2 linked regions of the Macaca fascicularis genome follow. The protein of the gene in region 1 purifies or fractionates together with the protein of each later gene. This does not show direct contact. Links are inferred from orthologs where the notes say so. Each region holds a gene or a part of one and is shown on either strand. Other genes may lie near its edges.

The links. The genes of interacting proteins can lie anywhere in the genome.
Region 2: the proteins of AXIN1 (region 1) and CSNK1A1 purify together in Homo sapiens (co-immunoprecipitation; 4 studies listed by BioGRID and IntAct, with this or other methods). This does not show direct contact. The link is inferred for Macaca fascicularis from reciprocal best matches to the Homo sapiens genes AXIN1 and CSNK1A1.

Annotation. Positions count from the first base shown.
Region 1 is NC_088394.1:1,047,697-1,051,196, reverse strand, and holds part of AXIN1 (axin-1), read left to right. Parts: coding exon 1-172; intron 173-579; coding exon 580-750; intron 751-3,500. UniProt on the Homo sapiens protein: Component of the beta-catenin destruction complex required for regulating CTNNB1 levels through phosphorylation and ubiquitination, and modulating Wnt-signaling.
Region 2 is NC_088380.1:156,431,317-156,435,449, reverse strand, and holds the start of CSNK1A1 (casein kinase I), read left to right. Parts: upstream 1-1,333; 5' UTR 1,334-1,805; coding exon 1,806-1,928; intron 1,929-2,599; coding exon 2,600-2,706; intron 2,707-4,133.

The DNA of each region.
Region 1 (3,500 bases):
ACGTCCACCACAGCACAGCCCGACCCAAGGAGCAGGTGGAGGCCGAGGCTGCCCGCAGGGCCCAGAGCAGCTTCGCGTGGGGTCCGGAACCACACAGCCATGGGGCAAAGTCCCGAGGCTACTCAGAGAGTGTGGGCGCTGCCCCCAACGCTAGCGATGGCCTGGCCCACAGGTGAGCAGGTGCCTGTCAGTGAGGAGGGGGCTCGGGGTGAGGCTGTGTCCCTGTTGAAGGCCAGAACCTCCCTGTAAAACTCAGGAAATCCAGGACCACCAGCAACAGGCAGGAGCCCTCTCTGCTGGAGGGAGTGGGCTGGGCCCCGGGTCAGGGGAGTCCACGCCGTGACCTCAGGTGGGAGATGAAGATCAGGGGCCACAGCCCGACCCTGGCTCCCACTGACCCTCAGTCTTCAGGGATGAGCAGTGACCGCCTGTGTGTTTAAAGAGGAAACACCCTGGGCAGCACCAGGACAGCCAGCAGGCAGCTGCTGTGCCGCGGGAGCCTTACAGAGGCCGGGTGGGGGCACAGCCTCAGCCACGGGAGGCCAGGGCGACTCGCCACTCTTGCTGTTGCCTTTGCAGTGGGAAGGCGGGCATGGCGTGCAAAAGAAATGCCAAGAAGGCCGAGTCAGGGAAGAGCGCCAGCGCTGAGATGCCAGGTGCCTCGGAGGATGCAGAGAAGAACCAGAAGATCATGCAGTGGATCATTGAGGGGGAGAAGGAGATCAGCAGGCACCGCAGGACCGGCCACGGGTGAGCACCCCCCACACACAGCCAGCCTCGTGGGGCCTGCTTTGCCGCTTCTGGCCTCCGCACAGTTTCAGTGTGTGCGGCTTCAGTGTGTGCGGCGAGTGTCGCCTCTGATGCCTCACACTTCCCCTCTCACTGGGGCACTCTCCTGGGCATCCTCCAGCAGGCTCCCTGGGCCTGGGAGAGAGGCCTAACGTCTCCAGGAGGAAAATCTCGTGTCCCCAGAGAGAGACTGTCCCTGAAGCCCTGAGCGGGAGGGAAGCCAACGTGGCTGTCACCCCACAGGTAGCACAGATGCTCTCGGGAGGTCATTTCCAGTCTGACCCCCACATGAGAATGACCTAAGTCACCTGGGAAGGCCACCGCTGGCCATCACTCCCAGGGCACCCATGGAGAAGCCTTCTGTGCTCACACCTGGCCATCCTGCTGAGGGCTGGGAAAGGCTCTTGTGTAGCCTGAGCACTACTCTCCTCCCAGCAGGGCAGAGGCCTCGTATAGGTGTGGAGCAAGGCCCTGGCACCACAGGTCCAGCCCCTGCCGCTGCCCGCCGGGCTGGTCTTGGTGTTGCCCCTGCTCGCCTCCTTGGCCTGCACTTGTGCCCAGAACCCAGCAGGAGGGCCAGGGGCCCCACAGAGGTGGTGCCCCCCATTTTCCCGTCGTGGTCAGAGGCAGGTCAGCTGGGAAGTGTCAGCCCTGGTGGGTAGGTGGCCCCAGCTTTCTCGGTCTTAGATCCTCATCTGCCCCCCCACACCCAGACCCTAGCCAGGGTGCACCTCCCTCCACATTACTTGGTGAGAACTTTTGAGGCAGCTGAGCGCCTGGGGCGCGGTGCTTCTGCCTGTGTTGGAAGCCCGTCCCACGAGGCCTTGGGGTCCCCATCGGTGCTGACTGGGATGGGGACGGGCTCGTCGTTTTTCTGGGACTCCTGAGGGAACGGAGGTGCACAGCACCATGCCTGGCTCATTTTTTGTAGAGATAGGGGTCTCAGTGTGTTGCCCAGGTGGGTCTCAAGCGATCCTCCCACCTTGGCCTCCCAAAATGCTGGGATTACAGGCATGAGAGTCACCACTCCTGGCCTTCGAATCTTTTTTTTTTTGAGACGGAGTCTCGCTCTGTCGCCCAGGCTGGAGTGCAGTGGTGCAATCTCAGCTCACTGCAAGCTCTGCCTCCTGGGTTCACGCCATTCTTCTGCTTCAGCCTCCCGAGTAGCTGGGATTACAGGTGCCCACCACACGCCCAGCTAATTTTTTGTATTTTTAGTAGAGACGGGGTTTCACCGTGTTAGCCAGGATGGTCTCGATCTCCTGACCTCATGATCCGCCTGCTTTGGCCTCCCAAAGTGCTGGGATTACAGGCGTGAGACACCGCGCCTGGCGTTTTTTTTTGTTGTTGTTGTTTTTGTTTTTTTGAGACAGAGTCTAGCTCTGCCCCCTGGGCTGGAGTGCAGTGGTGCAGTCTTGGCTAACTGCAGCCTCCCCCTCCCGGGTTCCAGCGATTCTCTTGCCTCAGCCTCCTGAGTAGCTGGGATTACAGGTGTGTGCCACCACGCCCGGCTGATTTTTGTATTTTTAGTAGAGACAGCGGAGGGGGTGACCATGTTAGGCTGATCTCGAACTCCCGACCTCTGGTGATCCACCCGCCTCGGCCTCCCAGAGTGCTGGGATTACAGGCATGAACCACTGCGCCCATCCGAATCCTTTTTTTATATAGCTGTATATACTAAATACTGCATGTCCCATATTTTAGGATAAGTATTAATACGTTCTACTTTGAAACATATTTATAATTTTTATTCATTAAGACTTTTTTTTGTTATTTTTTGAGACAGAGTCTCTCTGTCACCCTGGCTGAAGTGCAATGGTGCAATTACACAGTTCACTGCAGCCTCGGCCCCTAGGATTAGTATATAATTTATATCCCAGTAAAGCTGTTAAATGGATGCAAATGTTAATGGATGCAAAACCCCATCTCTACTAAAAAAAAATACAAAAAGTTAGCCATGTGTGGTGGCGGTTGCCAGTAATCACAGCTACTAGGGAGGCTGAGGCAGTAGAATCGCTTGAACCCGGGAGGCGGAGATTGCAGTGAGCCGAAATCACGCCACCGCACTCCAGCCTGGGCAACAAGAGCAAAACTCCGTCTCAAAAAAAGAAAAAAGTCACCATGAAAGGATTTTTTTTTTTTTTGAGACAGAGTTGCACTGTGTTGCTCAGGCTGTAGTGCAGTGGCACAACCTCGGCTCACTGCAACCTCCGCTTCCTGGGTTCAGGCGATTCTCCTGCTTTAGCCTCTCAAGTAGCTGGGACTACAGCACGTGCACTACCACGCCCGGCTAATTTTTGTATTTTTAGTAGAGATGGGGTTTCACCATGTTGGCTAGGATGTCTCCATCTCTTGACCTTGTGATTCGGCCTCCCAAAGTGCTGGGATTACATGCGTGAGCCACTGCGCTCAGCCTTTTTTGTTTCTTGAGATGGAGTTTTGCTCCTGTTGCTCAGGCTGGAGTACAATAGGCCGGTCTCAACTCACTGCACCCTCCACCTCCCCGGTTCAAACGATTCTCCTGCCTAAGCCTCCCGAGTAGCTGGGATTACAGGCGCCCAACATCATGCCCAGTAAACTTGGTATTTTTGTAGAAACAGGGTTTCACCATGTTGGGCAGGCTGGTCCTGAACTCCTGACCTCAGGTGATCCACCCGCCTCGGCCTCCCAACGTGCTGGGATTACCGTGCCTGGCCAGTTTTTTTGTTTGT
Region 2 (4,133 bases), on another chromosome or scaffold:
GAGGGTCTCTCTGTTGCCCAGGCTGGAGTGCAGTAGCGTGATCTAGTCTCACCGCAACCTCCGCTTCCGAGTAGCTGGGGTTACAAGTGTACGTCATCACACCCAGCTAATTTTTGTATTTTTAGTAGATACGGGGTTTCGCCATGTTGGCCAGGCTGGTCTCGAACAACTGACCTCAAGTCATCTGCCCGCCCCGGCCTCCCAAAGTGGTGGGATTACAGGCGTGAGCCACTGCGCCCAGCCCTCATTTCTATTTTAATTAAATTTTATTTAAGATAGGCTTAGCTTAAATGTTTACGACTGAGGTCTGACTTAAGATGATAGCATAAACCATGGAGCTTTCTTTTGTGAACATTACTATTACTCAACCCAATTTTCCCAGGTCAAATTTTGTAATACAAAACGTGGTCAAGATTTGATTCTCTGATCGATTTTTAGTAAAAAAGAAAAAAATTTCCGTGTAGCTTTAAATGTTGTCAATTAAATTTTGTAATAGTTACCTCTACTCTGTTCAGGTTAATACTGCGGTTTTCAACATGACCAACATACGATTCTTTGTTGTTGTTTTGGTGGGGTTGGGGGGCATAACAGTTTTTTCACTCTTGTTAAATTAATTTTCTGTTGATTCCATCTATCCCTAATCTTCACTATGAACAAGATACTGGGTTTTCTTCTGAAGATCAAAAGTGGTAGTGAGGCAATAATGCAAAGACGTAGGACGGCAGGGGGATTCCGGCTTCTTTCTTTTTTCCCCTCCTGTGGAAAGAGGGTCTATAACACTCCGTAGTAGAGAAGAAAATTCTAATTATGAAGGGTAATTAGCTAGGTTTTGCTATAACCGAGAGCCCTGAACGATTCCTCAACGCGGGCTGCTTTTCTCTTCCTCTCCACCAGAGGCGATAGCCTCTTTCCAAACAGAAACTGGGTTGGAATAGGCCGGTCCTGGGGAGCGGCCAGAAGAAAGATCAAAGGTTAAAAACCGCCTCAAAGAGCAAAGGTCAATACCCAACTCCTAAGGAGGCCTGACACGAAACATGAAGGTGACTCCTCCCAACATCGAGGCCTGGGGCCACTCAGCCTTCCAGAGACCCTGCGGGTCCGAGGCGAGTAACAGGTAACACCGGCTGAGCCGCCGCCGACCGGAAGTGGAAGAAAGCCCGGGGCGGGGTGAGGCAGGCCGCGGCACGCCTGCGCAGTCAGCAGGAGTTGCAGCGCTCATGCGCTACTGGGCGGTGACAGGGTGACGCTCGGAGCGTGGGCCGCGACTCTCACGGATCCGGTTCCGCCCTCTAGCTGCCGATCCTTCGGAGCGAGCGCCCCAGATCCCTTTCCCAGAGTGCTCTGCGCCGTGAAGAAGCGGCTCCCGGGGACTGGGGGCATTTTGTGTTGGCTGGAGCTGGAGTAACAAGATGGCGGCGTCGGCGGAGTGACAGGGGTCCCTCAGGGCCGGAGCCGGCGGCAGTGGTGGTAGCTGTATCGCCGCCCTAGCTCACCGCGCCCCTTTTCCAGCCCGCGACGTCGCCGCGCAAGCGAGGCAGCGGCGGCCGCCGAGAAACAAGTGGCCCAGCCTGGTAACCGCGAGAAGCCCTTCACAAACTGCGGCCTGGCAAAAAGAAACCTGACTGAGCGGCGGTGATCAGGTTCCCCTCGGCTGATTCTGGGCCCCGAACGCCGGTAAAGGCCTCCGTGTTCTGTTTCCTGCCGCCTTCCTCCGTAGCCTTGCCCAGTGTAGGAGCCCCAGAGGCCTCCGTCGTCTTCCCAGAGGTGTCGGGGCTTGGCCCCAGACTCCATCTTCGTCTCTCAGGATGGCGAGTAGCAGCGGCTCTAAGGCCGAATTCATTGTCGGAGGGAAATATAAACTGGTACGGAAGATCGGGTCTGGCTCCTTCGGGGACATCTATCTGGCGATCAACATCACCAACGGCGAGGTAATCACCTGGGGTGGGGTTCACGATAACGCTGCGCTTTTCCTCATTCCCCCCACCACCACCGCGCACCCCCAAAGTGCTCGGGCCTCTCCTCACCGCACGCACTCGCCAGGGAGTCCAGGGAGCTAGTTTTCCTGGCTTGCGATCCTCGCCCGCTCTCTCCCTAAAAGGGTCAAGAACCCGATAGAAAAGGGTGGGGGAACTAGTTTCCCAGCTTGTTAAACACTTCCCATAAATGTCCCTTGGTCGAGCTGTTTTTTTTTTAACCGACTTTTAAGGTGGAAACGGCAAAATCCTCTTTCTGTGATTCCCATGCTTTGCTTTTCTTTTCTTTTATTTAATTTTTAATCCTGCTGGGCCTCTTGTTCCAATTAGAACAGTTTCCGATCGCCTAGTTCCTTAAAAACCTCTCACTACGTTCAGAGGTTGCCTCTTTTTTCTGGATGAATCATTTTCCTGCACTTTAGAGGACGTACGATTTCGTCACTACCCCCTGAAGAGGCCTTTGAGGCTGGTTGCCTCGTTTTATAATTACAGAGAGCTTTCTCTTTCCAGCTTTTCACTTCTTCCTTGTAGTCGCGACTTGGAGTTTTGCTAATGTCTCTCTCCTTTCCTAAATGACACTGAATCCGTAGGGATGTTGATGCCATCATCCCCTCTTTCCCCTGCAGGAAGTGGCAGTGAAGCTAGAATCTCAGAAGGCCAGGCATCCCCAGTTGCTGTACGAGAGCAAGCTCTATAAGATTCTTCAAGGTGGGGTTGGCATCCCCCACATACGGTAAGAACCCCGTGCATGTAGGCGATCCGCTGAGGGAAGCACGGAATGGGGAAGTGGGTAGAGGCAGGTAATGAGACCAGCTGAATCCGGGTCTTGTTTTGGTTACCTGGGTTCCTTGTAGCTGGTGCCTTCCTGTAAGTCATCGCAATCACTGAGTAAATTTCAATTTGCCAACTTATTTCATTGTATTACACTGCTCCATTTCGCTTCCGTCATTCTCTTCCCGAGGCTTTCGTTTGCAGTTATGCGTGCGGGTCATCTTTGATCCCTACGCGGAAGGGTTGGCTGCTGCCTTTTTTACGGCGGCACGTCTGATGTTCTTAGGTTTGTCCAGTGAAGTGGATTTGAAGGTGCTGAAGCGACCCGGCGGTGTCAGTTCGAGTTGCTATTGGAGCTGGCTTGGGAAATGGCTGCTCTTTTGTTGTGTTTTTGTTCCAACATGTCTTCCTCCTCCGCTTAGAAAATGGCGGAACGACGTGACTCAACCCCATATTCCTGCCCTTTTCTCAGCTTGGGTTCACAAATTATGCTTCCTTGATTCCTCCTTTAGCAGCCCCGAGTGGATTAAACCTTTGAAAAGCCAAGAATAAAGCTGCAGGAGGCGGTGTGGGGGTTCGAGGAAGGAGATGGCATAGTGACAATGTTTGTGATCTCTGCAGCAGATGTGACATGAAATTGTTGAATTATACTATGTAAAATCCTTTGTGGTTCTTTTAAAAGTGTTAATTACTCTTTCCTTTCGTGAATGGTCATATTTGGCACATTTCAGTCGGGACTAAATTTGTATAGGTAATGGCAAAGGCAGTTTGAGCAGCACCAACTATGTTAAAATTTACTCAAATCAATTGTATTAAAAGAAATCTTAATCACTTAGCCACACTTTGATAAGTAATTTTAACCTGTTGAGTTTGGCAGTAAATCTTAATATCAGAGAAATTGCGGCCTTTGTTGGTGTGGAATATTGGTGAGTGCAAATTGCAGTAACGCGGATAAAAGATGACGAGATAGAAAGACATTGTTCTGTCAAATGGTTAACTTTACTTTGGAGGGTTTTAGAGTAATGTTTTAACTTTTGGGATTAAAGAGCCTCTTCATGGAATGGAGACTAAAATATAGTTTAAAACCAAGCTATTTTTCAGCAACAATCTAAAATACCTTTTGCAAAAATATTCAGAATAGGTGAGAATGGTGTTTACTGTTTGCTGGAGACTCTCTTTTTTTTTTTTTGAGACTGAGTTTTCGCTCTTGTCGATCAGGCTGGAGTGCAGTGAATGGCACGATCTTGGCTCACTGCAACCTCTGCCTCCTGGGTTCAAGCGATTCTAGTGCCTCAGCCTCCTGAGTAGCTGGGATTACAGGCGCCCGCCACCACACCCAGCTAATTTTTGTATTTTAGTTTCACCATGTTGGCCAGGCTGTACTCGAAC